Linked DNA regions of Struthio camelus. The protein of the gene in region 2 interacts with the protein of the main gene of each other region in a pairwise test. Links are inferred from orthologs where the notes say so. Each region holds a gene or a part of one and is shown on either strand. Other genes may lie near its edges.

Region 1 (7,851 bases), on a different chromosome or scaffold from region 2:
ACCTAGTGTTAGACTGAAGACTTCTGCTCTTTAAGTTTGGAAGCACTGGTTAGAGAAGTAACAAGTCAACTTGTGACAGCCTTTAGAAAAGAAAAATTCAGCTGGTAGCAGTGGAAGAATGACAGCTGTGGACATAAATATCTTCAGGCACAGAACTAGATCTGAATGAGAGTATCTGCCTGGGACTACAAACAGGCAAATTCTGACAGAGAAACCAAGGCCAGCGCCTCTTCTTTTCTGACAAAAGTCACTTGAACAGTTAGAGAAACCTACAGTGAGCAACTGGAGGGCTGAAATAAAAGTTTGCTAGGCTTAATTGATCAGTACACGCTACATACTGACTTTGCATTATGATGAACCTAGTCCAGGAAGTACTTCTCTGCAACTATGAAGGGAATTCCCAGAAGTAAAAAAGCATCCTTACGAGACTGCATGCTTGAATGCATCATAAGCACCATATCCTGGTCTTTTGTACTTGTCATCAAATACCCAGGCAGTTCTCTGGAACAGACTCTCAAGCTGCTCGTCCTTAGTGTATTCCAAGACCTCAGCAACATGGCGAAGAATGCTGTAAACCTTGAACATAAACAAATTTTTAAAAAGGGGGGGGAGGGGAAGAAATGAGGATGTCTTGTTCCAACTGCAAATTCACACAATGAGTGACTCTTACTATGAGCTTGTACAGCACGCAATTGAGTCCTTCAGATTAAAAGTCCGCAATCAAAATTGTTGCTACAAATAGACAACAAAAACAAATGAAAAAAAAAATCCAACAGATCAATGAAAAATTGCTTTGATTCCAAACGCTGCAGGATGCTGCAATATAATATCCCTCTATAATTAGCAATAAATTACATACAAAACTCTAGGAGCGTATAAAGTATCAAACACAACTGCATTAACCTGAACCTTTACTACATGTTATGAAAATAAAATTACTCTCTCAAGGAAAATGAAACAGAAAATTCTACTGAACTGTTAAACATACAGTATTTTATTGTATGGAAAGAAAAAAGTTAGAATCGAAGTAATACTCAATGGCAAAAAATTCACTCAGAAGCATAAGAGCACACTGACTGCAAGTCTTTTCAATGAAATTTGTCCACAGCGTGCTAAACCAGGTTTTTTTTTTTTTTGCATCTCTGATCATTAAAATATCACCCTTTACATCATAAGTTTTCAATTGACAACTCATCTATCCATTAAACAAGAAGCAGCTTAGCAGAGCATTCACAGACAAATGAACTGACCATATATGTGCATGGGTAAATGAATATCAGAGCATTCCTGATGATATGAAAACAAATTATTGTTCTCATTTAACTTATGCCTATGCATTTTTGTTGTTCAGAAAAGCAACTGAGCAAACCACAGTGTCTGAAGATAGCAGAGCAACTTACAGTCTTCGATTTTGTGAATTTGTCTTCACATTTGATTGCTTCCTCTGGAGAAACTCTTCTTTTTGACAAGTCAATATAACCTATTAGAAGAAAAAAAAAAATTTGGAAAGTGTCAGGATTATGCAAACTTTACTCTTCAAGTAACAAAAAATACACCCCATGTTCAAAAGTCTAAATGCTTCAAGAAAAAAAAGCATAAAGAACAAGGATATAGATGTTAAAGATGGCACTGAACAGTATTGCTAAAAAATGACATCCTACATAGAAAATACATTAAAGAACTTCAAAGATTCAAGAGTTCAGAAGACAGGAATGGACAAAAGTTAAGGCTATATGTACAATCCCAACTTTTAACCTTCTACAGTATGCATATGGTACAATCGTTACATAACTGCCATCCATTTTATAGTCAGGGTTGATGCCTTAGGGCACAGGATGAACTGTGAGGTCTAAATGCTCATCATTTAGATTTTTTTTTTCACTACCACAGACAGGTCTAGTATCATTCTTCTCTCCAGTTAAGACTCAGAAAATAAACAGAGACTTCAAAAGAAAATCCCACTTCAATACCGTTTGTTGACTAAAACATTGAATTTAAGAGTTTGAGGACTCAAACAAATCTTTACTGGTGTGACTGATCTTCATCAACCTGATTCTCAAAGGACACACAGAACAATGCTCACAAACATCACGTGGCAGGATTGTGCTCTATTTTGTTTGAGTACCTTAAGCAAAAAAAATTCCCAGCCAAAAAAACCCAAAAACCTAAGCTGCCCAGTTTATTTGCGTTTATCTTTATGATTTCAAGTTTGATACTGCCCATAATATCCCAGAATACCTTTTTCTTTGTCAACCCTTATGACCACAACACACTCATTCCTCCCAATGCGGATGAGTTTGTTTATGGAACGGATACGTCTTCTGGATAGCTCACTAAGAAGGATCATGCCTTCAATGTTGTTGTATTCCAACAGGCTGACATAAGCTCCCATTTCAGCAATGGACCGAACGTTGACCATCACTACATCTTCCACTTCTGGAAATTTATGCTGGTAGAATCTACAGCTTAGTCCTGGCATTCTGTAATTTGCGCAAAAAGAAACAAAGATGACTTAGCTCATAGTACACCACTAACCTCTCCCACAAACGTAGTAAGAAGCAGCAAGGACTAGTAAGGATAAAGAGGAACACTGAACTCTGGAACAAGAAATTGCAAATTACTTTAGGAAAACATTTCCAGAATTAGGCTCTCATAAAATACTAAATTAATTTATCTTAGTATTTAGTATTATCACAGGCTTTGCTAAGATGATCATCTTTTGCATGAAGGTAAAAAACCTTGCTACCTAGTTATTATCCACTTCGACTGTCGTATGACATATATTGCACAATACAGAAGAGACTTCATGTGGTGAAAAGGAGGTACAGCACTCTTCATTCATCTAAATTCATAATATCATGTAAAATTATAAATCAGATTTCAACAACAGGAGCACACAGAAGAGAAGAGAACTGCAGCGATAACAAACATATCTGTAAGCGTATCATAAGACAGCATGTGAAATGTTGATAAAATAACAAGCAGAGCAAAGCTTCTGTAGTACTGAGAAAGAAGAGACCCCATCTATCTCTATACTCTAGAAAATGATATTTTAAACTCAACATAAAATATTTGGAATAATTCCGTACAGAGAGAGGAAGGCTTACAGCTCCAGAGGCCACTTTTCAGAAGTCAAAGGATGCAAGAACAGCAGAACACACGCAAAAAAGAAGGCTCATGCTTCATAAACGTGCAGCGATAAGAAGAAATGCACACTAATCCATGCAGTTTCATAGGAAACTGCTTCATTTTCCTGATGATGAGAGTAATCCACACATTCATCACTACTAATCAGGCTACCCCAACTCCTTTTGTCTATGCCTAGAAGTTTGATACAGAACTATAAGATCACTCTGGATGTAGCAGCCTGTAATACCAAGTCAAACATGTTACTTCCCTGAAAGATTTAATTGCCATTTCAAAGTTTCACGCCTGATCTTCACAGCAGTGCTAACGCACTGCATCAATACAAGAATATTAAAAAGAGTAAGACGGTGATGCCAACTGCTACACAAACACGGCCAAACAATTTTGAAGAAAGTGTCCATCTTTATTTTCATTCTTCACTAACTTTGAGAAAGGAGAAAATATAAACTAGTGAAGCAATTATGAAAACAGTCCTCTAAAGGTTTCACGTAACCATAAGTTCAACAAAGAATCCCAAGACTAAAAATACACATTTTACAATTTACCTTTCCAGTCTATTTAGTGCAATTCAGATTAATCCTGAATATCTATGTATGAGACACTGAATAAACACATAGCATAAAGCAACAACCCCCAACAATGGCGAGCAAGAACAGACAACTACAGCTCTGCACAGACAGCGTTTCACTGCTCTCTCCGTGGTCACAAGGCATTTATGCTGTCCTCCCATCGAAAGGGCCTCAGGGACAACACGCTACCTGCAGCCCCAAGACTGGGAATCATCTTTCCCAGACGCTGGAAATGAACGGGCAAGGATTTAAATCCACATTGCCACGAAACGACCACAGAGGCCTCTGTAAGAACTGGCAAAACCAGGCTAACTTCTGGCCAGAAACTCCTCCGCTGCGGCGTCGCTGCCACGACCCGGTGCCCAGGCCGGGGAGTCACAGCCCTGGGGGCAGCACAGGCGCCGAAGCGGGGACGGAAGCGGCCCCCGGGGCGGCCGAGAGCCCCCGCCGGGCGCAGGCGCGGACCCCTCCAGCAGGCCGACGGCAAGACGCGGGCAGGCCGCGGCCCGGCCCGACCCGGCCCGGAGAGTGCGGCCCCCCGGGCGGGCCGCTCGCAGCTGCGCGGCAGATGGCGGACGCGGCCCTCGGCGCCCCGGGCCCAGCCCTCCGCCACGCCGGTCCTCGCGAGGAGCCGGGCGGCGCGGCGCGGCGCCGGGGCCCAGGGCCGGAGCCTGAGTCGGCGGTAGGAGGCGAGCTGCGCCGGGACGGGCCGTTACCTGGCAACGGCCGGGGGGTCCCGCTGTCCGCTCGCGCTCCCGGATCCCGCGCTGGCCCGGCTCCTGCCTCAGCGTGCACCGGCCCCCGCCGCCCCGCCGCGCTCCTTCTCGCGAGACGGGCCGGCCCCGCCCCGCCGGATCATAGAGTCCCAGCGCCGAGGTGGGGGGACGAGGCGGACGGTGGGCGGGCGAGGGCGTAGCGCTCGCGCTGCACTAGAACGGTCTCGGAGCCTGCGGGACTCCGCGCGCTGAGAGCGAGGCGACCGCTTAAGAGCCGCAGAGTCAAGAACCTCCTGGGAGCACAAACAGGCCCAGGAACAAGTTACGTCTCTCTCCCTTCCCGCCCCCAGAGGGCGCCGTTGGCCCCGGGCGGGCACGTGACCGCAAGGAAGGGGCGGGGCCGGCGCCGGCCTGCGGGAGGGGGCGGGCTCTCCCATCCGGGTTTCTCCCGGCGCTTCCGGCCTGCTCGGGGCGGGGGCGCGGCCGCTGCGCCGGGGTCGCGTCACTCGGCGGGGGGGGGGGCGTCACGCGAGGGTGCGGCGCGGCGGCAGGAGCGGTCCCGCGGCGCTGCCCGCCCGCCCGCCGCCACCACCACCATGTCGGGCAAGGACCGCATCGAGATCTTCCCGTCGCGCATGTGAGCGAGCCTGCGCGCGGGCCGGGGCGGCGGGCGGCGCGGTCGGCGCCTCGCGGGCCGCGGCGGCTGCGGCCGCCCAGCCCGGGCCGGGCCGCGCTTGCGGCCCCGAGCAGAGCCGCGGGGCGGGGGGGGGGCCCGGCCCGGCCCGGCCCGGCCCGGCCCGGCCCAGCCGAGCTGCCGATGCCTCTGCGGGATCAGTTCCGCTTGTGGCATCCACCGGCGTTTCCCGTGCCGCAGGCTGCGCCCGCTGTCGCCGGCCCTCCTGCTGTGCGCCCCCAAGGGCAGTCTCGCTCTGTGTTTCGCGTGAAACCCCTTGCTAGGCAGTTGGAGACTGCAGCTTGATCTTCCCGTTAGTCTCTTTTTTCCAAGTTGCTCAATATTAGCTCTCTGGGCCATGCGAGGGCCATTGCAGGGGCCAGTACCAAGGGAGAAGCAGCTTCCCAGGGGCTTATTATACAGTAAGGCAAAGTTTGATTGCAAAAAAGACCAATTTGTAGAATCTGGGTTCAAGAAAAAAGACCGCAAATCAAACCGCATTTTCTCTTCTAAATAGTTGCCACTGATATAACTAATGTGGCAGCAACTGCATTCGAGAGGTTGGCTGTAAAGGGTTAAGAAAATACAGGAAGTCAAATGCAAAAAGTGCAGTGGACAGTCAAGTAATTTTCCAGATCCTGACAGCAGACTATTTGTCATGAAGTCAGGTGCCTTTTGACAAGGCTTGGGAAGAGGCCGACGTTGGAATGAATGCAAATGTTTAAAATTGACATGCTATTAAAATTGCTATTGTAACAGTGCTATTCATTTTCTCTTCAGAACTCCCTGGGATAGAAGGACTTTGCTTTAAAGTGGAAAGCTGTTTCAAATCTTGCATAAAAACTGGGTTGATGCCTGAGATATAGTCTTTATGAAAGATACCTTGCAGTGGTAGAGAACCTCACATGTAAAATAACAGTCCTTCCCTCATATGAGCTCAGGATGTATGAAATAACACCTTACATGGAAAAATTAATATATTACATGGTAAAGATTCTGTTTTGAATCTTGGATCAGAAATAAGCTGCTGTAGGTAGTAAGTCATTTGGTCTTGCATCTGCTGTTGACCGTCCTCTTTTCATTGAGTTTACACGTCCAAGGAAAAGACACTTCAGTTATTTTGGAAAGGCACCTGTGTTGTGGGCTGGTACCTCATTGTGGCAAGAAGGTGATGATGTACGAAGGCTTAATATTTACAAGCCTCTTCTTCAAAGGAGGTAATAGACCAATAATGCGGCTGATATTTTGATGGGGAAGTAAGTTAGGGCAGTAAAATAAAGATGGCCCCTCTCTGCCTCTGGAACAAATCTTTTTGTTAACTGACAGAGCAGAGTTTTCAAAATCCTTCTTTTTCTTTTTTCTTTCTTTTTTTCTTTTACTCTTTGGTCTTGCTGGTATGAACCTCTTCTGTACTGGACGTGATCCCTTGCAGAAACTGCTCTTATTGACAGTAAACAAGACTTTGTTTAACGCGTTCTCAGAGCCCGTGAAATCTTGCTTGAAGTAGAAACTGAGCCAGTCTCTGACAGGTAGCGAGCAGAGCAAGTGAGCTGGTTCAAGGTGGTGGCATTCCAGAACCAGTTCCAGTTTGTTATGAAAGTAAAGCTACCTTTTTATTCTTTGACCTTGTTTTTCATCATGAACATTCAGAAAGTACTCACTTTTTTTTTCCGGTTATAAGCGTCTTTTAGACATTAATGAAGCCACTCTTATAATATGCCTGTAAAGTGGGGGAAGTAATGGATTTCACAGTGTAGGTAGAATCTTAATTATACTTAATTTTTCCAAGGTCAGAGAGGAAGTGTGCAGGCTACTCCTTTCACAGAGCTGTCTTGAGTGTTGTCCTTTGTGTGTAGTAATTATGTGTACAAAGCAGTAGCTTAAGTTAGCAAAACTTGTGTTTTTTGTAGTATAGCTACTGTCATTTTAGTTAACCTAAATCAACAAATTGTGCAATTTAAACCATACTTCACAGGAGTAGAGGGAAACGGGGATCCTTCAGTTCCCAAATCTGTGTCAGAATGGTTCATTTGGAGTAGCTGTCATCAGGAAAAATGAAAACTCTTTATTTCCTATTATGAAGGGGCTGAAAAATAACTTGTCAATTTTCCATGCTATTCAGCTTTACAGATACTAACCTTGTAATCCTCATTGATGGAGAGGAGATAAGTTCCCTTGATTTCAAACAGAAAAAGAGAATTCTTTCCTGAATTGTCCAACCTGGTTTACTGCATTGATTTTGCTCGGTTGCTTCATAATTTCAGTCATGTCCGTGCCAGGAAACTTGTTATGACTTTTTCCTAATCCCTTTGGATGACACAGGGCCTTTTTGTTTCTTGGTCTGTTTAACAGGGCTCAGACCATCATGAAGGCTCGTTTGAAAGGAGCCCAAACAGGTCGTAACCTCTTGAAGAAAAAATCTGATGCTTTGACACTTCGATTCAGGCAGATCCTTAAGAAAATTATTGAGGTAGGTAAACTGGAATTTTCCTATATTTAGCTCACTCCATTTAAAAGTTCTCTGTTATATGTCAGTTGTACGTTCCCATCCTGCTAACTTCATAAGGTAAGCTAGAATGTAGTACAACTTTGTGTATAACCTGTGTTTTGTAAGTGAGGCTACTGAGGACAAATAAGCAGAAGTATGTTTTCCTGGCTGCGATGGTACTGAAAATCTGTAAGACTTAATATTCTTCCCCTCTTTCCAACTAGCGCTAGATTCTCTTATTTTATATCTAGAGTTTCC
Region 2 (7,181 bases):
GTGGTGCCCAGTGCTACTAACCTTTTCTTCAACCTCTTGCTAATGAAGAACATGGCAATGGCCCCCAGGTACTTGGCAAAGAAACCTTCCACAGTGCCAAACTTCCCCTCACGGACAATGTAATCAAAAGATGCCAAGGCTTCCCTAGGTGTACGGTAAACATTGGGGGAGATGAGGTGAACAAGCCAATCGTCTGCCCATTTTCTCCACTTCATTTCTTCCCTGCAGGTATTCAAGAGAGATTTTTCAGTGAACGAGGTGCAGACCTGGGGCTACAGGAGGCAGCTACAAATCACAGCGGCATTCACAGGAGATTGAGCCAAGCACGAGTGTATCACAAGCTCCCGCCTCGTCTTCTGCTCCGGTGACCTCTCTGAAACGTACTCAGGAGCACTCTTTGGCAAAGCTACTCCAATCTCAAACTGAAACTAAGACTAAGATAGAGCACTAGCTTCTCTTCCCATTATGGAAAGTAGAGCAGCAAACCCATTCATGGGAAGCTAGCATTCCTCTGCAGCAGACAGAAAAGCCAAAGAAAGAAACTGGAGGAATCTTAGGAGCTAGACAGTCCAGGTCCCACCATCACGGTCATGCTAACACTATTGTTTCAATTTGCGTAAAAAACACATCTCCACTAGCTACCAAGCAGGGGAGAGGGGGTGTGGCAGGAGCTGTCAGTAGCAGCTCCAGCAGGATTATACGTACGTACCCTCCCTGAGGATATCTGGAGGAGGCTGTGACCCTACTTGGGAGACCCAGAAACTTAAGAGCACTTACACTCTCACTTCTTTCATGGGATAGACTTGCTTTGTCTCCGTTTCATCCAACATGAGCCAGTACTTATTCCCATACTCGAATGTCTCCTTGCCTTGCTCAGTCACAGTTTTCATAGGAGGATAAAAGGACACAATCTCTTCTAAGCTCTTCCTCCTGAGGACAGAAGCATAGTACCTGCTCTGGCTGCTACACAAATGTGCAAGAGCAAAGACATATCAAGAGAGATACACTTTAAAATGCATTATTCTAAAAAGAAGCACGAAGTACCAAATTCTATTTGAAATGCGTTTGAAAAGGACTCTGGAATACTTACTGGCAAATAACATTATTATTAGCGTACATTACATTTCTCTTTGTCAGATGGGACACAAGTGGAAGTTTCTGCAGGCATAAAGCCTCCTACGATTCTCTAATGTTTTGCAACTGGGGTGCAAGGACAGCGCGCAAGCACAGCAATTTGATGGCATTCTAGATGTTATAACTAGCCAAAGGCAAGTTTAGCTCTGGGACTAACCCTAGCCAAGGCTTAAGTAATCTTTCTGCAAAGAGAATCTCACAGATGAAAGAGAGTTCTGAAAGGTAAAAGCTGAGCTTTAACACACACACCAACATATACGTGGGTTGTCCGCACCGTCATAGGCTGGGGATCAGGTCAACTGATCCAAACACCCAAAGCTTCAAACGCTAAGATCAGTAGGATACTAATGAGCTAATTGCTGAGCGTGTTCTAAATCTCCAGTTTGCTAGGGCCATTCAGATTCAACTCTTCTCCCATCAACCTGTTTTCTTACTTGGAAATAAGATAGGTCTTTATTGCACTGATGATCACTGAAGAATCGTTCAATTGCTGAAAAACAGAATTAAGACAAATTTTAAAAATAATTCTTGGTGAAATTGAAAAGGAAAGTTCTTCGGAGTCTTTACCCCAGCATTCTGAGGCTCCAAGTTAATACTGTAGTCCCTTCGTCCCCAAGCATTTCCACAGGTAGTCCTACCATTGCGCTCCCTTCTGCGATTATCACTTCTGAGTCTGTCTTTCATTCTGACAACAGGGGACCTGAGGGCAGGTATCCAGGCAACACTAGCAGGTTTGGGGTTTTAGCTCTTGGCAGCAAAGGAGGGAAAGCAACGCTGGGGGCACACGGACACACATACACACACTTAAGTCTTCAGTTTTCTTTAGACCTCATCCTTTTCCCACAGGATCTAAGCAGCTCCCATTACCCTCTGGTACCAAAAAAAAAAAAAAAAAAGAAAGTGGGTCCTGCATAAGGGCTATCGGGAGCTACATAATCACTGGATTATAGAGTCATTACACAAAACAACAGGTCTTGGAAAAAGAGAGACAAAAAACTCTAATAAGGCCAAGCAACAAGAGATCACGAAGCAAGGAACAAATCTTAGGCTCCTGAGAGAATAAAAGATGATACTGTATGCGACAAATGAGAAGCATAAATCTCCAAACCGTTGCTAGTGGGGAAAACGAAGCAAGCTTTCAAAACAGTTGAAACCATTTCCCAACTTACCAGAGGGCTTCCAGCATTGGCTAGCAGGATGGGCACCTTTCTGTAGGAAGAGAATTTGATCTCTTTCCTCATTATTGGGTTCACTTCCACAATTTCATAGGGCAACCCATGATAATCAAGAAAAGCTCGGACTTTGCTGCAGAAAGGACATGTTTTATACTGGTAGAGGGTGAGCTGCAGGCTCCCTTCAGGCAGCTAGGGAAGGAAGAGAGCAGAAGTTTGTATTTCCTACTAAAAATCTGAATATGCTATCTTCTTTCCACCTTTATATTAAAATTGTAGCTGTTGACGTTCAGTTTCAACATCTGATCATCAAAATATCCTGGCTAACGGATGCTTTCTTCAAATAGCATTACAAACATTCACCTCCTATTGGGACCAAATACCTGTTTTTCAAAATATTTATTTAGCCTGCTGAAACTCCCAGTCATAGCAAAAAGGCAGTTAAAAATCTGACGCTTTGAACCCTTTACAAACAGTTCTGAAACTAAAGAAAAACACAACAGTATTTTAACAGCATTTAAACCAAACCAAAACACTTCTCTAAAATAGCAGTTTTACCCACCACTCTCTCTGAAGCCTACCGAGTGGGGGAGAATGGAAAGAGACGCTCTGTTCATCACGCTACAGAGAGCCGCAGCGGTACCCCACAGCACAGTTGATTACAGAAACACGGTGCTAAAAACCTGCCAGAAAATAATGACTTCAGGCGTGCAACTGCCGAAGCTCAGATTCCTGGGAATAACCAACCTGTGCTTAGGTGGGGACAGGGAGAACCGGGGGTAGGACAAACAGCAAAGCATCAGGCCAGGGATGCTTCGCAGCAACACCGCGGTACTCCAGCGGTCTGACCGCCTGCGCTCACTGCGGCATGCGTTACGGAGCACACGCAGCCATCTCACCTTGCTTCTCGTGTGTAATTGGTTTGGTTACACAACCCTCCATGGGTGCCGGACAAAAAAAAAAAAAAAACACCAGCTAAGAGGCAACACTCCACCTCCCCCCAAGCTCTCCCTTTCTAACAAGGGCTCCCTACAGCTCCTCACTGAGGATAAGGCCGCTCTTTCCTTATTTTAAGCCCTCTCCTCGCAGACGCTAGAGCGGCAGCGGGGCGCTGGGGCGGCAGAGCCAGCGGGAGCTGCCTCGCGCCTCCCCCGAGCCCGTCTCCGGAGGGGACCCCCCCCGCCTGGGGCCTCGCAGCCAGCCCGGGGCCAGGGAAGGGCGGGCGCCGGGGGCGACAAAACGGGGCCCGGCGGCGGCGCGTTACCTCAGCGGCCGAGTGCTCCCGCAGGCCCTGCCGCGCCACCTGGTAGAGGCCGGCGCCGCCGCCCAGCGCGAAGGCAGCGCCCAGCAGCAGGCGGCCGCGGCCGCCCGGCCCGCCGCCGCCCCCCGCGGCGCCGTAAGCGCGGCGCGGAGCCCGCAGCCGCCAGGGGGGCGGCGGCAGCAGCGCCGCGACCCGCAAAGCCCTGCCGGCAGCGGCGGCCATGTTCCCGGCGCGGGCGGGCGCAGTGGGGGGGGGGGGGGGGCCTTAAAGGGACCGCGCCGCCGCGGGGAGGGGACGGCCGCACCCCCCTCACCCCCCCCCGCTCCGGCCCTCCAAAATGGCGGACGGGGCTTCGCGCTGAGGGAATGAATACAGCAACATCCCTCCCTCGTGGAGTGCTGTAAAACCCACGCGCGGGGCGCTGTCCTAGGGAGCTTCTGCGGCGACAGGGCCAACGGCTCTACGCGCCCAATCTTCCTGACGGTCGCGCTCGCTTCCCCCGCTTAGGGCAGGGCGTAACGCGGGGTCCAGCTCAGCAGCACGTAGCTGCGTTACGCTGAAGACGGGACGCGAGGCGGCTGCACCGTTAAATCAGGACGTGACCTTTCCTTTCTGCTGCGCCCCAAATACCCACTGCGTTACGGGGCCCTCAAACCAGCTTTGCCTCAGGCGCACTGCTCGACTGAGTGCTCTAATTGCAAGTTATTTTCATCCCGGAGACAGCTCCCCGAGGACGAAAAAATCACGCAGCGATCAGATACCCTCGGGTGGGGCTAACGATAAGGAAAGGCAACGAAAATTGCGCTTATTCTCTCGGGGAAGAGAAGGTTTCAGCGAGGGGCGGCTCCTCACAGGGCAGGGGGGCCGCCCCCGCGCAGGCCTGCGCCCGCGGCACTAAAAGCCATCCCGGAGGACGAGCGCGGACGGTGCCCCCGCTGTGCCGGGTATCCGCCGCGGCGGGGCGGGCCGAGTCAGCACACAGCTTCGCTTTTGGGGAAAGCACCCCGGAAAGGGCGGCTGCGGGGCTGCGCCGCGGCGCGCCTCTCCCCGCCCGCCCGCGGACCGCCCGCCGCGCGCCCTGCCGCTAACCACAAGCTTTAGCCCAGCGCCGGGCGGCCGGGCTGCGTGACGAGCGGCGGCGCGGAGCTCTCCCATTGGCCAGCGCTCCGGCGCCCCGCCGAGCTCAGCGGGCGCTCCGCCCCCGGCGTTCCAGCGCGTTCCAACGCGCGGTCCCGACGTTCCAGCGCGTTCCAACGCGTTCCAACGCGCGGTCCCGACGTTCCAGCGCGTTCCAGCGCGTTCCAACGCGGTAGTGGCGCGCTCCCGCGCGTTCCAACGCGGTGCCCGGGGGTTCCGACGCGCCTTCTCGGCGTTGCAGCACCATGTCGGGGCCTAACGGGGAGCCGCACGTGGCGGCGGGCGCCGCCGGGCAGGACGACGAGGACGGGGACAGCTTCGGGGAGGAAGGTGCGTGAGGGCCGCGGTGTCCTGCCTCGCTGCCCGGCCGGGCCGGGACCGGGGCTGGGCCGCCCTGCCTGGCTTTGCGCCTGAGGAGGCCGCGTCTCCTCCGCAGCGCCCGGCCCCGTGGCGCTCCTCGCGGTGGTGTTTTTCCAGATTTATGGCTGCGCGTCGCTGCCTTGGGGATTAGCGCTTGTCTGTCAGCTCTGTTTCTTAGTTTTTGGAAGCCAGACCTAGCGCTTCTCAGGACTCGTCCTGTGACCTCAGCAGCTGCACGCGCAAAGGCGGAGGAGATGGTTCCTTCCCCTCAGTGTGGCACGGCAGCTCCTATAGATTGCTTTTTTTTTTCCCCCCGTGTGAAAAGAAGATTATTCAGTGCTTTTGCTAGCGTACAGGCTGTGATGACCGTGTTCAGCTTTTGAACCCGCAGGAGAGACCGCTTGGGCAGAGCTGGATGAAATAGTCAAGGATGGAAAAACTGTGTTTAATGCAATCAGCTTGGCAAATTCCACTTTCAGTCATTTCTGCAATGCCTAGGTATGAAATTTTTGATACTGCCGTGGCCGGTTAGACCAAAAAAAAAAAAACTTTTGGAGGAAATGAGAAAATAGCAGAGCTCAAAGGGGTATGTATGGGTCATTCTTAACATTGGAAATCTTTTGAAGCGTAAGCACATAGCTACTCTCCTCTTGAAAGTGGGGAAGAGCGGAGCTTTGCTTTCCCTTTCTCAAAAGACCACTGAGTTTCCAGCAAGCACAGACCTGACCTGTGTAGGTGAATCTCGTCTTTCTGGCTGATCGTCCCAGTGACAGAAGGATCGTTTCTGTTGCTGCAGTACCCCAGGAGCAGTCACGGCACTGCGTTATCCAACGGTGATTTGCGCTTCCTACTTTTTGAAGAGCTAAGAGATGCAGTGGAGGCGATGGAGAAAGTCGCTAAATCAAGTCTCCGCATTAGGCTGGTCTATTTGTAATTAGCAGAGGGTTTGTGCGCGCTCTCTAGTTGTAATGATCTGTAGATATTTCCTGGTTTAGTTGAGGTGAAACTGTGGATCGCTTCTTTGATCTCAAGCAGGAGACCTTATTTCATGGCAACTGTTACCATAAGAATGCAGAGAAGCAAAAAATGTGATTGCCCCGCTCCTGGTGAACATCTCCATTGGGAGAAGTAGTTAAGTGTCTGCAAAAATACACGAAGCTTGCAACTAGCAGAAGACAATCAAATTAACTGTTTTTACAGCTTATTTTAAAATAGTTAAAATTTTTCCGCTTCCCAAAGCTGCACGGTTTTTATAGCTTTTTTTTTTTTTTTTTTTTGAGCATTGGGCACCAGAACAATTAGGCTTCTGTGATTAGAGTTCTTGACCTAGTTGATGAATAATGTTATTTTCTTGTCAGAAGTAGTCATCGTATCTGCTTGAGATCTTCTCACCGTTTAACTGGAACATGCTGCATCACACATAGAACAAATACTATGCTAAAGGAGCGCTGTAACTCCTGGACATTCTGGTATCATATACTGTGAAGCAGAGTTTACAAAATATTGATGACTGCCCCTTTTTTGGAAAGAATTTGTGTTTGTGAAATTCGTTTTTAAATGGAAGGACATCAGCTGTGCTCTTGCTCGTAATACCACCTCTGCATATACCTGCAAGGCCAAAATTTTCTCTTATAAACATGCTTAAGTGCCACATATGCACTTCTCCAAGCAATTAAAGGCTGCAGCACTGCTCTGAATGGCTCCATCAAAGTAGCATAAGAAAAGGAGGACAATTCTCTTACAATGAAACTCATCCTCCACTATTAGTAATGCAAATAACTGTAATACTTCAGTATTCACAGTTATTTTTAAAATAGTTGTACTGTAAACTGTGGAAATAACTTCTCTCAAAGAGCATCCAGCTCTACCACTGACCTCTGCTCTCCTTGACCTGTTCCCAGGGTCATTCGGCCTTGGGAAGATGCTTTTTGAAAGCAGCACAGACTGCTGATTATTCACTAGAGGCAAATCACGCCCAGTAAAATCCTGCCAGGTCCCCTTACCTATCTCAAGATCTGGCCTCTTGAGAACTAATGTCAGTGTGTGTGTGCGCTTGGTGTGAGACCAGTTAGAAAATGATAACTTAAAAGGAACTGACTTTATTCATAAGGGTCTGG
Region 3 (7,198 bases), on a different chromosome or scaffold from region 2:
TTTCTTATGTTTAAAGCACAGCACTTGCTTTAGTTTGATACTATTCATATCCATTTGTTGAAATTCATTTGTAAGACATTGAATTCTTGTATTAAATATCCTTTCCTTCTGATTAGAGTACCTGAACCACAAAAGTACAGTGAACCATCTGGAAACTGATGAAAATCTAATCTGGAAGCGGTGCAAAGTTTTGTTTTACAGTTTACCTGATAGTTGCTGCGGGTCACAGTGACTTCCCATAGGCCTGGAGTACCTGAAAAAGGCAAAAGAGAATGGAAGTCTTGGATTACTACATTCTCCAGAGCTGTTCCTACCGCCATATCAGCAATATGTCGAAAGCTGAATTCTGCCAAGTTTAAAAGGAATATTTTTAGTCTACTTACATATTGCCCTAAATTAAAAATCCGTCTTTTAACGGTTCAGAAAGTTAAGAGAGACATAAAATTAACAAGAATGTTTAGTTCATTAATACTAAGTAAACTAATAACACAAGTGGGATAGGTATTTTATGATGGGGGGGGGGGACTTCTCTCAGAACTACAGCAAAGCTGTAGATTGAGTATAGTATTTTGATATCTGTTCATCATTCACCCTGTTCACATTCAGCAGTTTGAAGACTCAACAACTGAAAGTTCCTTCCTTAATGAAAGTGATACTATTTTCCCAGGAAATATGCCTATGTAATCTGAAAGAACTGGAAAACTCTGAACTCCTAGTGTACACATAAGTGAGGATAAAAATCAAACTCTTCTCATCTGCTTTGATGCATGCTACTTGACAGCTCTCTCTGTATTTATTGTTTCTTTAGTTTTTACTAAATGTTTTAGAAAACATGCATTCTATATAATCCATGGCTTCCTAACAATATCATATACAAATTTTGCTTTTCTGATTTTCCTAGAGGACAAAGGAAAATACCAGAAAATCACATGCAGGAGACATTCAAAATGTCAGTTCAGCAGATGCAATGAAGAGAAGACATATTCATAAGGATAAAACGTTATTAGAGCAGACAGAAGAAATGACCATATCATACCACAAATATAAAAAGACTGAAAAAGACTAAAGGGCAGAGAGCACAAAAGAGCTAACAGCATCATAAGGATATGGACCATAGTCAGTGAATGAGAAATATTTAACTTAAAATAGTAATTAATACTTAAATTCTGAGTTCATCTCTTCAAACATAATGGAAGGCTTTCAATAACAAATATGTACCCAAAAATCTGAGAACAAAATCATCTTCTAATAGTCTTTCATTTAAAAAATATAATAATAGAGAAAGAGCATACTGATCTTGGCACACCTACTTCTTCAGTTAACTGAAGGCTACTTAATTTCAAGATCCTCACTAACTTACTTGTTTTTTTTTTTCCTTTTAAACACTTTTTTTAAAACAATTGAGAGGCAGAAGTTATGAATATGAAATGCCTGACAGTCAAAATTATTCTGAGAGCATTATTACAACCTTATTACTGACACTGTTATCCAATCTTCCCTCTTTAAAATCTTTTTATTTATTTACTAAATAATGTCTTTAAGAAAACAATCTGAAATTGTATTGAAAGAGATAGATATATATCTATCTATAATATATGTAAACAAAATCCAACTTGTTGGGGGACAACTAGAGTAAGCTCTTGGGGGCACAACCTAAACGTACAGTACATTCCACACTATGTATATACTTGAGGACAACAAAATAAAGATAAGTTATTCAATTGAAAAGTGTTCCGTCCTAAAATTTAGCTGACGCCTTCCCCTCACTACAGTGTGTGCCTTTTAGCTGACAGATCTGGGTGGGGAGAGGAGATCACGGTTCTGTAAAAGCAGTTAAATATACATGAGTTTGACTTTAGTTAACACAAGATTTTCTTGGCTTAGCTAGGGAACCAAGCATATATAAAACATTCTGATGTTAGAGAGTTCTGTAAGGCAGATAAAAAGGGAAGTGTGGCGGGCAAGTTCAAGTTATAACACCCAGTGCTGCCTACAATAAGCCACATGAAGAGAAGACAGCTAAACTACCATGCCGATACACTATCTTCATCACAGTGAATTAAGCAGCATTAGGAGGAGCCATTCCTCTTCCATAAAGGCACACGTAACATGCAATACAGAGCCACGTACACTTGAGCAAGACTAAATACTAAAAAGCAGCACAGTCGTGCAGGAGACACACTCTGCTAAATCCTTAGTTATTTACTCTAGGAGGATTATCCCAGCTTAGATCTACAGACTAGGTTATCCAGAACGAGCTCTCCTATACTAGCAGCACACAGGGCTGCACCGCACCACGAAGCCACACCCGAAACGGGATCCCGTGCAGGCTTCCCGTTTCTTTCAAATCTGTATATCGCGGCCCCGGGAGTGACAGCGAGACACACACCGCGACTCCTCCGCGATGCTGCCGAGATACAATTCCGCCTCCACTTCGCCCGCCTCCTCCGGAGCGGCAAACCACCTTATTTCGTGTCCGCCTTCAGGCGGGGGCGGAGGTGACGCGCAGCTGTAAGCGGAGGCAGCAGGGCGCAAACGCGCACCGCCCCGCAGCGACCCCCGCACGCGCCGCGTTTGTAACGGCGCTAACGGCCGCCGCCGCCCCGCACAGGTGAGCCGCGGCCCGGCTCCCCGCTGACCACGGCGCCCCCGGGGCAGAGCCGGCAGTCCCGCGCGGCGACAGGACGGAGCCCCGGGACCTCGGCCCCTTCCCGCAGCGCAGCGTCGCCTCCCACTCACGACCTCACCGCTCCCCGAGGGCCACGATGGCGGCAGAGGCCGCTGCTAGGCGACGCCATCAAACACTCCCGCCGGCTCCGCTCCCGGCGACCCGGATCCTCGTGGACTCGGGGGCGGGCCAGGCCTCCCGCGGTACTACAAGCCCCACAATGCAAGCTGAGCACCACCGATGCTCAGCATCGCGGAGCGGCGCGACCCCCGCGGGTGCGGAAACGGGGGCAGGGCGGGAAAGCGGGACGGGGTGGGGAGCCATCCCGCCCGGACACGCGATTCACCACGGCGGCAGGCGGCAACCTCCCGCTGCTGATGGCGGACTACGTGTCCCAGCATGCCGTGCGCCTCCGCCGGGACTACAGATCCCGGCACACCTTGAGGACGTCCAGCCACTGACTGAGCGGTTTCCCGACAGCCCTTGCGGGGCAGGGGTTGCCGCCGGCCGTCGCGGGGCGGTGTGCGCGTGCGCAGTGCGGCGGGGCGTCTGTGGCGGTGGCGGCGGCGGCGGCGGAGGGCGGGCGGATGCGCACCGGGGTGTGGGCGGTGGCGAGGGCGCTTCGTCCGCGGCCTCAGGTAAGGTGGGGAGCGGCGGCGTGGGGGGCCCTCCTTCCGCAGGGGGCACCGGGGAGGGGTCCGACGGAGCTGATGCTGCCCGCGGTCGTCCTCCGCGGTGGGGGTAGGTGTCCTCTCTGCCCTGGCCGGGCGGCACGGGCCTCATCCGCGCCCACTCCGCACCCGGCCGCGGAGGCCCGGGCTCCGGTGCCGCCTCGGGGCCTCGGTCGCGCAGCCGGCTCCGGGGGCGGGCAGTGGGCCCCGCGCTGCGGCTCAGCCCGCTTCTTTCCTCACGGAGGCACCGGCGCCTTCGTGCCCAGCGGCGGCCGTTTGCCCTGCCCCCCCTCCCCCAGGCCCCTACCCCCGGCCTCCCCCTGTTGCTGCAGGCAGTGTGGGCCTTCCCGCAGGGGTGGCTGGCTGCGGGGCTGCGGCACTGCCCAAGTCCCTCTATCTGTGTATATGTGTATAAATAAGCAGGGGCTGCGGCACTCTCCAAGTCTCTCTATCTGTGTATATGTGTGTGAGTAAGTATATAACAATCTCTCCTCAAAGGATAGTTTGCAGAGCAATACGGGAAGGATCGCACCTATAGACTGGTTAGGTCTCTTGACTCTGCCGGTGGTCTGCAAGGCCCCGTGAGCGTTGGTAGTGTCGGATGGCCCCAAAGGTTTGGGATCCTGCGTTTTAGCTAACTGGGCACGAACGTACGTTTTCAAATAAAAAGGGGGAAAACAGCAACCATTGGAATTGTGTTTATGTCTTTGTATTCATTCAGCAGGAGTGCTGAAAGCTCAAGATCTTTTTGTTGGCTCTCTGTACTGATGGAGAGGGGTGATCCTAATGTAGTTTTCTGACTTTCTTGATATTAGGCTTTCTCTAGCTTCATGATTTCTTTTTCTTTGCTATCTCTTAATCAGTGTTTATATTTAATGAAGGCTGACACAACTCAAGACGCTTGGCACTCCTTACAGTTATGTAACTTGTTCCAGTAACATTTTAACTCTAATTCTTGAATGAAGGTAAAGGCTTTTATACCTTTGACAGAGGCTGGTTACTTATAGCTCTGTAGTGGGGAAGAAAAGGAAACTTTGTAATTAGGGCAGGAAAAGAGAGACAGGACTATATTTCATGAATAGGTAATGTGACTAAAAACAAAATTCATCGTTATTAAGTGTAAATCAATGATTTCTTTAGTTGGAGGAGCTTTATAGGTGGAGGTGATCCAAAGAGAATAAGTTTGGCACAGAGTTATGTGGACTTGCTGCAGGATGAGGTTTAGCATTTATGTTTGTGTTGTCGTGTTACAGAATCAAAAAAACAAAAAAGCTACTACATGTACTTGTAGTGCAACCACATCTAGTTCACAATTGTGTAGTATAGATAGTCAAGAGGATTGCTGTAGAGCTAAAGGGGATTTTTGAAGTAGGCATGATAACTTTAAAAAATGAAAATAGAATGGAAAGAATGGAAGTAGTAATCCTACATTAAAAGGGGAAATATACAAAATACAGAATGGCTTTGAGAAAGTGGATTTTTTTTTTTGTTATGCCTCACACTTAATCATGTGGTAAGAGTTTTATAAGTGCATCTTCTTTTGGTGAGAATGCATGCTTGTAGATCTGGAGCCAGAACACATTTAAGTTGTATCATAGGCAGCTTGACCTACCCTGATACAGGAGTTGGGCATCTGTATTAAACCACAGTTTTGATATAGTATGCTGTTTCAAAAAGCTAATACAAAAACTGCAGTATTACAGATCTAATAAAATGTTATTTACGGAAGAGGCACATGTGGTCCAAGCATACTAAATAAGGACATGCATAGCAGAGTCTAAAGGCTGCCTTTTCAGCCTATGCTACCCATGTAGCATACTCTGATCTATGGAGTTAATGAACATGCAGTTAATAGTATTGTATTTCTGAAGCATTGAGGGTGTTGATCTGTTTGATTAGCATTATTTTAGAGATGTGATATTTTGCATCTGTGTCTTAGGAGGAAACATTGCATTATATTCTTGCAGTTATTCTGAATATAGAAGGTATTCTTTTGTTACTTTTTAAATGTATAGCTTAGTAGCAAAAAAAATTTAAAGGCAGACCTAATGAGTTATTAAGTCCTGTAAGAGTTAATTATTTTAAGATATGTATTATTCTTGTGTAGTTTGTATTTCAGCTGATTGTTACATCAAGTGTATTGAACAAATTGAAACTAAACAATGCAGTATCTTCTTATTATCCATTTTTACACTGTATATGTTTTGATACTTGTTTATACCAGGGTACCTAAAATGTCTGAGTTCTGGTTCAGCTGGCTGATTGCCAGCAAACTTCACAGTCATCCCCACTCTGAAACTTCTCCTCCTTCCTGCACCACATGTTCTGACTCCGAGTCAGAATTGGCGTTCCTTAACTAGTTGATACTTAATAAACTGTGCAAAGAGAAAGCTGGAGGCTTTGAGAGTGTAATGTATCCCCCTTATGGGGATTAGAAAATTATGCAGATTAGTCCCACTTCCCCTTGATCCTGTGGTATTTGCAGAAGGAGGTTGCTCCATTAAAACTTCTGTTAATTTTTTTCTAGTCTAGGGTCCCAGCCAGAGGAAGGGGAGTACAGGCATGTTTTGTGTTCTTCCTCCTTCTGTCTTCCCAAATACTGCCTGCCATATGCTATTCTAACCCAATCATTTAAACCTCAACTGTGGATCTAAAGTGCTTCAAACTGAAGTTGAGCCTTGGGACAGCATTTTTAGGAGAAGATAAGTTTAAAGGCTGTTTTGAAAAGGGACAACAGAACAAACAGAAATACAGTATATGATCTCTTTCTATCATTAAACAGTGATACTAAGTCAGCAGACAGAATATTTGGTTTAACAAAAATGAAATAATTATAGAAAGGGGACCAAGAAGGCAAGACAAGTGAGGCTACAGCTTCAGGTGCTGGATTAAAATAACTTTTTAAAGTGACTAAACTGCTAGCTTTGGCAACCTATCGTATATGTCTGGTATTCACCAATTCAGCCTTCTTTGTTCCCCCCCCCCCACACACACCTTTCATAGTTTGAGTCACTTTTCTGTGTGAGCTGTAAATACATTTCAATTAGTTAGGGAGCCTCAGTTATTATCAAAGTACATGTCTCCAGAGTAACTGAGATGCAAGTCCAGTTCTGCAGATCTCTTCCATGTATGTCTGTGTCTTATGCTGGCTTAGAACTCCAAGCGAGAGAGTGGGGAATCCACATGTTATGATTAGGTATGTACACAAATGATCATTATTATGTTTACAAAGGTTTTTGAGAGGCTACCTGATCCCTGTGCAAATTGCTTGTTTTTTCATTGCCAGCTGCCTCATTAATATAACACAGAATTAGGCTCCTTGAGATAATAATTATGCTTCACATTGCACATGCAAGGCACTCTTCATCAAAGTGAGCCTATGGAGTTTTGCAGACTGGCCACACTATTGCTTACATTGTCTATAGAGAACAGTTGCAGTTTGATTGTGGTTGAAAATGCTGTTGTCTTGTAATGAAGCTTTGGTATGACTGAAAGTGTAAGGCATTTTTTTAATATCTGTGAATATTTAATAAAATTGAGAATGAGAATATTTTCAGTGTATGAGAATGATAAAGTTAAGTCTTTAGAATGCAGTAAGATTCTGTTGTGGACAATGAATAAGTTGAATCATTTTCTAAGTTTCAGTTTTCTGATGGCTTGTTACTTTTGTTGGTTTGAACTGAATTTTAAATTGGAAGCCAGAGATATCAATAAGATGTCAGTTATGCTGAGTGTCTTCTGAAGTAGTAAGTCCTCTCATCCAAAAGCTGTAACAGTTTTAAAGTTTGAGATGAATTTTAATGATCTTGTCATTAGATAAGATCTAATGATCTCTAGAAATCTTGAATGGGATTAAGTG

Evidence for each region.
Region 1: the proteins of BBLN (region 2) and ATP6V1D interact in binary tests that used the Homo sapiens proteins (3 or more experiments, as listed by UniProt). The two-hybrid records come from large-scale screens. The link is inferred for Struthio camelus from reciprocal best matches to the Homo sapiens genes BBLN and ATP6V1D.
Region 3: the proteins of BBLN (region 2) and CEP290 interact in binary tests that used the Homo sapiens proteins (3 or more experiments, as listed by UniProt). The two-hybrid records come from large-scale screens. The link is inferred for Struthio camelus from reciprocal best matches to the Homo sapiens genes BBLN and CEP290.

Annotation. Positions count from the first base shown.
Region 1 is NC_090946.1:46,691,291-46,699,141, forward strand, and holds the start of ATP6V1D (V-type proton ATPase subunit D), read left to right. Parts: upstream 1-4,840; 5' UTR 4,841-5,028; coding exon 5,029-5,069; intron 5,070-5,885; exon of another isoform or gene 5,886-6,322; intron 6,323-7,457; coding exon 7,458-7,575; intron 7,576-7,851. Other genes in the region: EIF2S1 (eukaryotic translation initiation factor 2 subunit 1), read right to left, coding at 425-576, 1,401-1,480, 2,239-2,479. UniProt on the Homo sapiens protein: Subunit of the V1 complex of vacuolar(H+)-ATPase (V-ATPase), a multisubunit enzyme composed of a peripheral complex (V1) that hydrolyzes ATP and a membrane integral complex (V0) that translocates protons.
Region 2 is NC_090961.1:7,400,808-7,407,988, forward strand, and holds the start of BBLN (bublin coiled-coil protein), read left to right. Parts: upstream 1-4,084; 5' UTR 4,085-4,949; coding exon 4,950-5,034; intron 5,035-7,181. Other genes in the region: PTGES2 (prostaglandin E synthase 2), read right to left, coding at 22-222, 778-930, 1,569-1,624, 2,304-2,498, 2,888-2,923. UniProt on the Homo sapiens protein: Essential for intermediate filament organization in intestinal cells, interacts with intermediate filament and regulates intestinal lumen morphology.
Region 3 is NC_090942.1:49,141,429-49,148,626, forward strand, and holds the start of CEP290 (centrosomal protein of 290 kDa), read right to left. Parts: upstream 3,075-7,198; 5' UTR 2,748-3,074; exon of another isoform or gene 2,390-2,747; intron 254-2,389; 5' UTR 207-253; intron 1-206. UniProt on the Homo sapiens protein: Involved in early and late steps in cilia formation. Its association with CCP110 is required for inhibition of primary cilia formation by CCP110.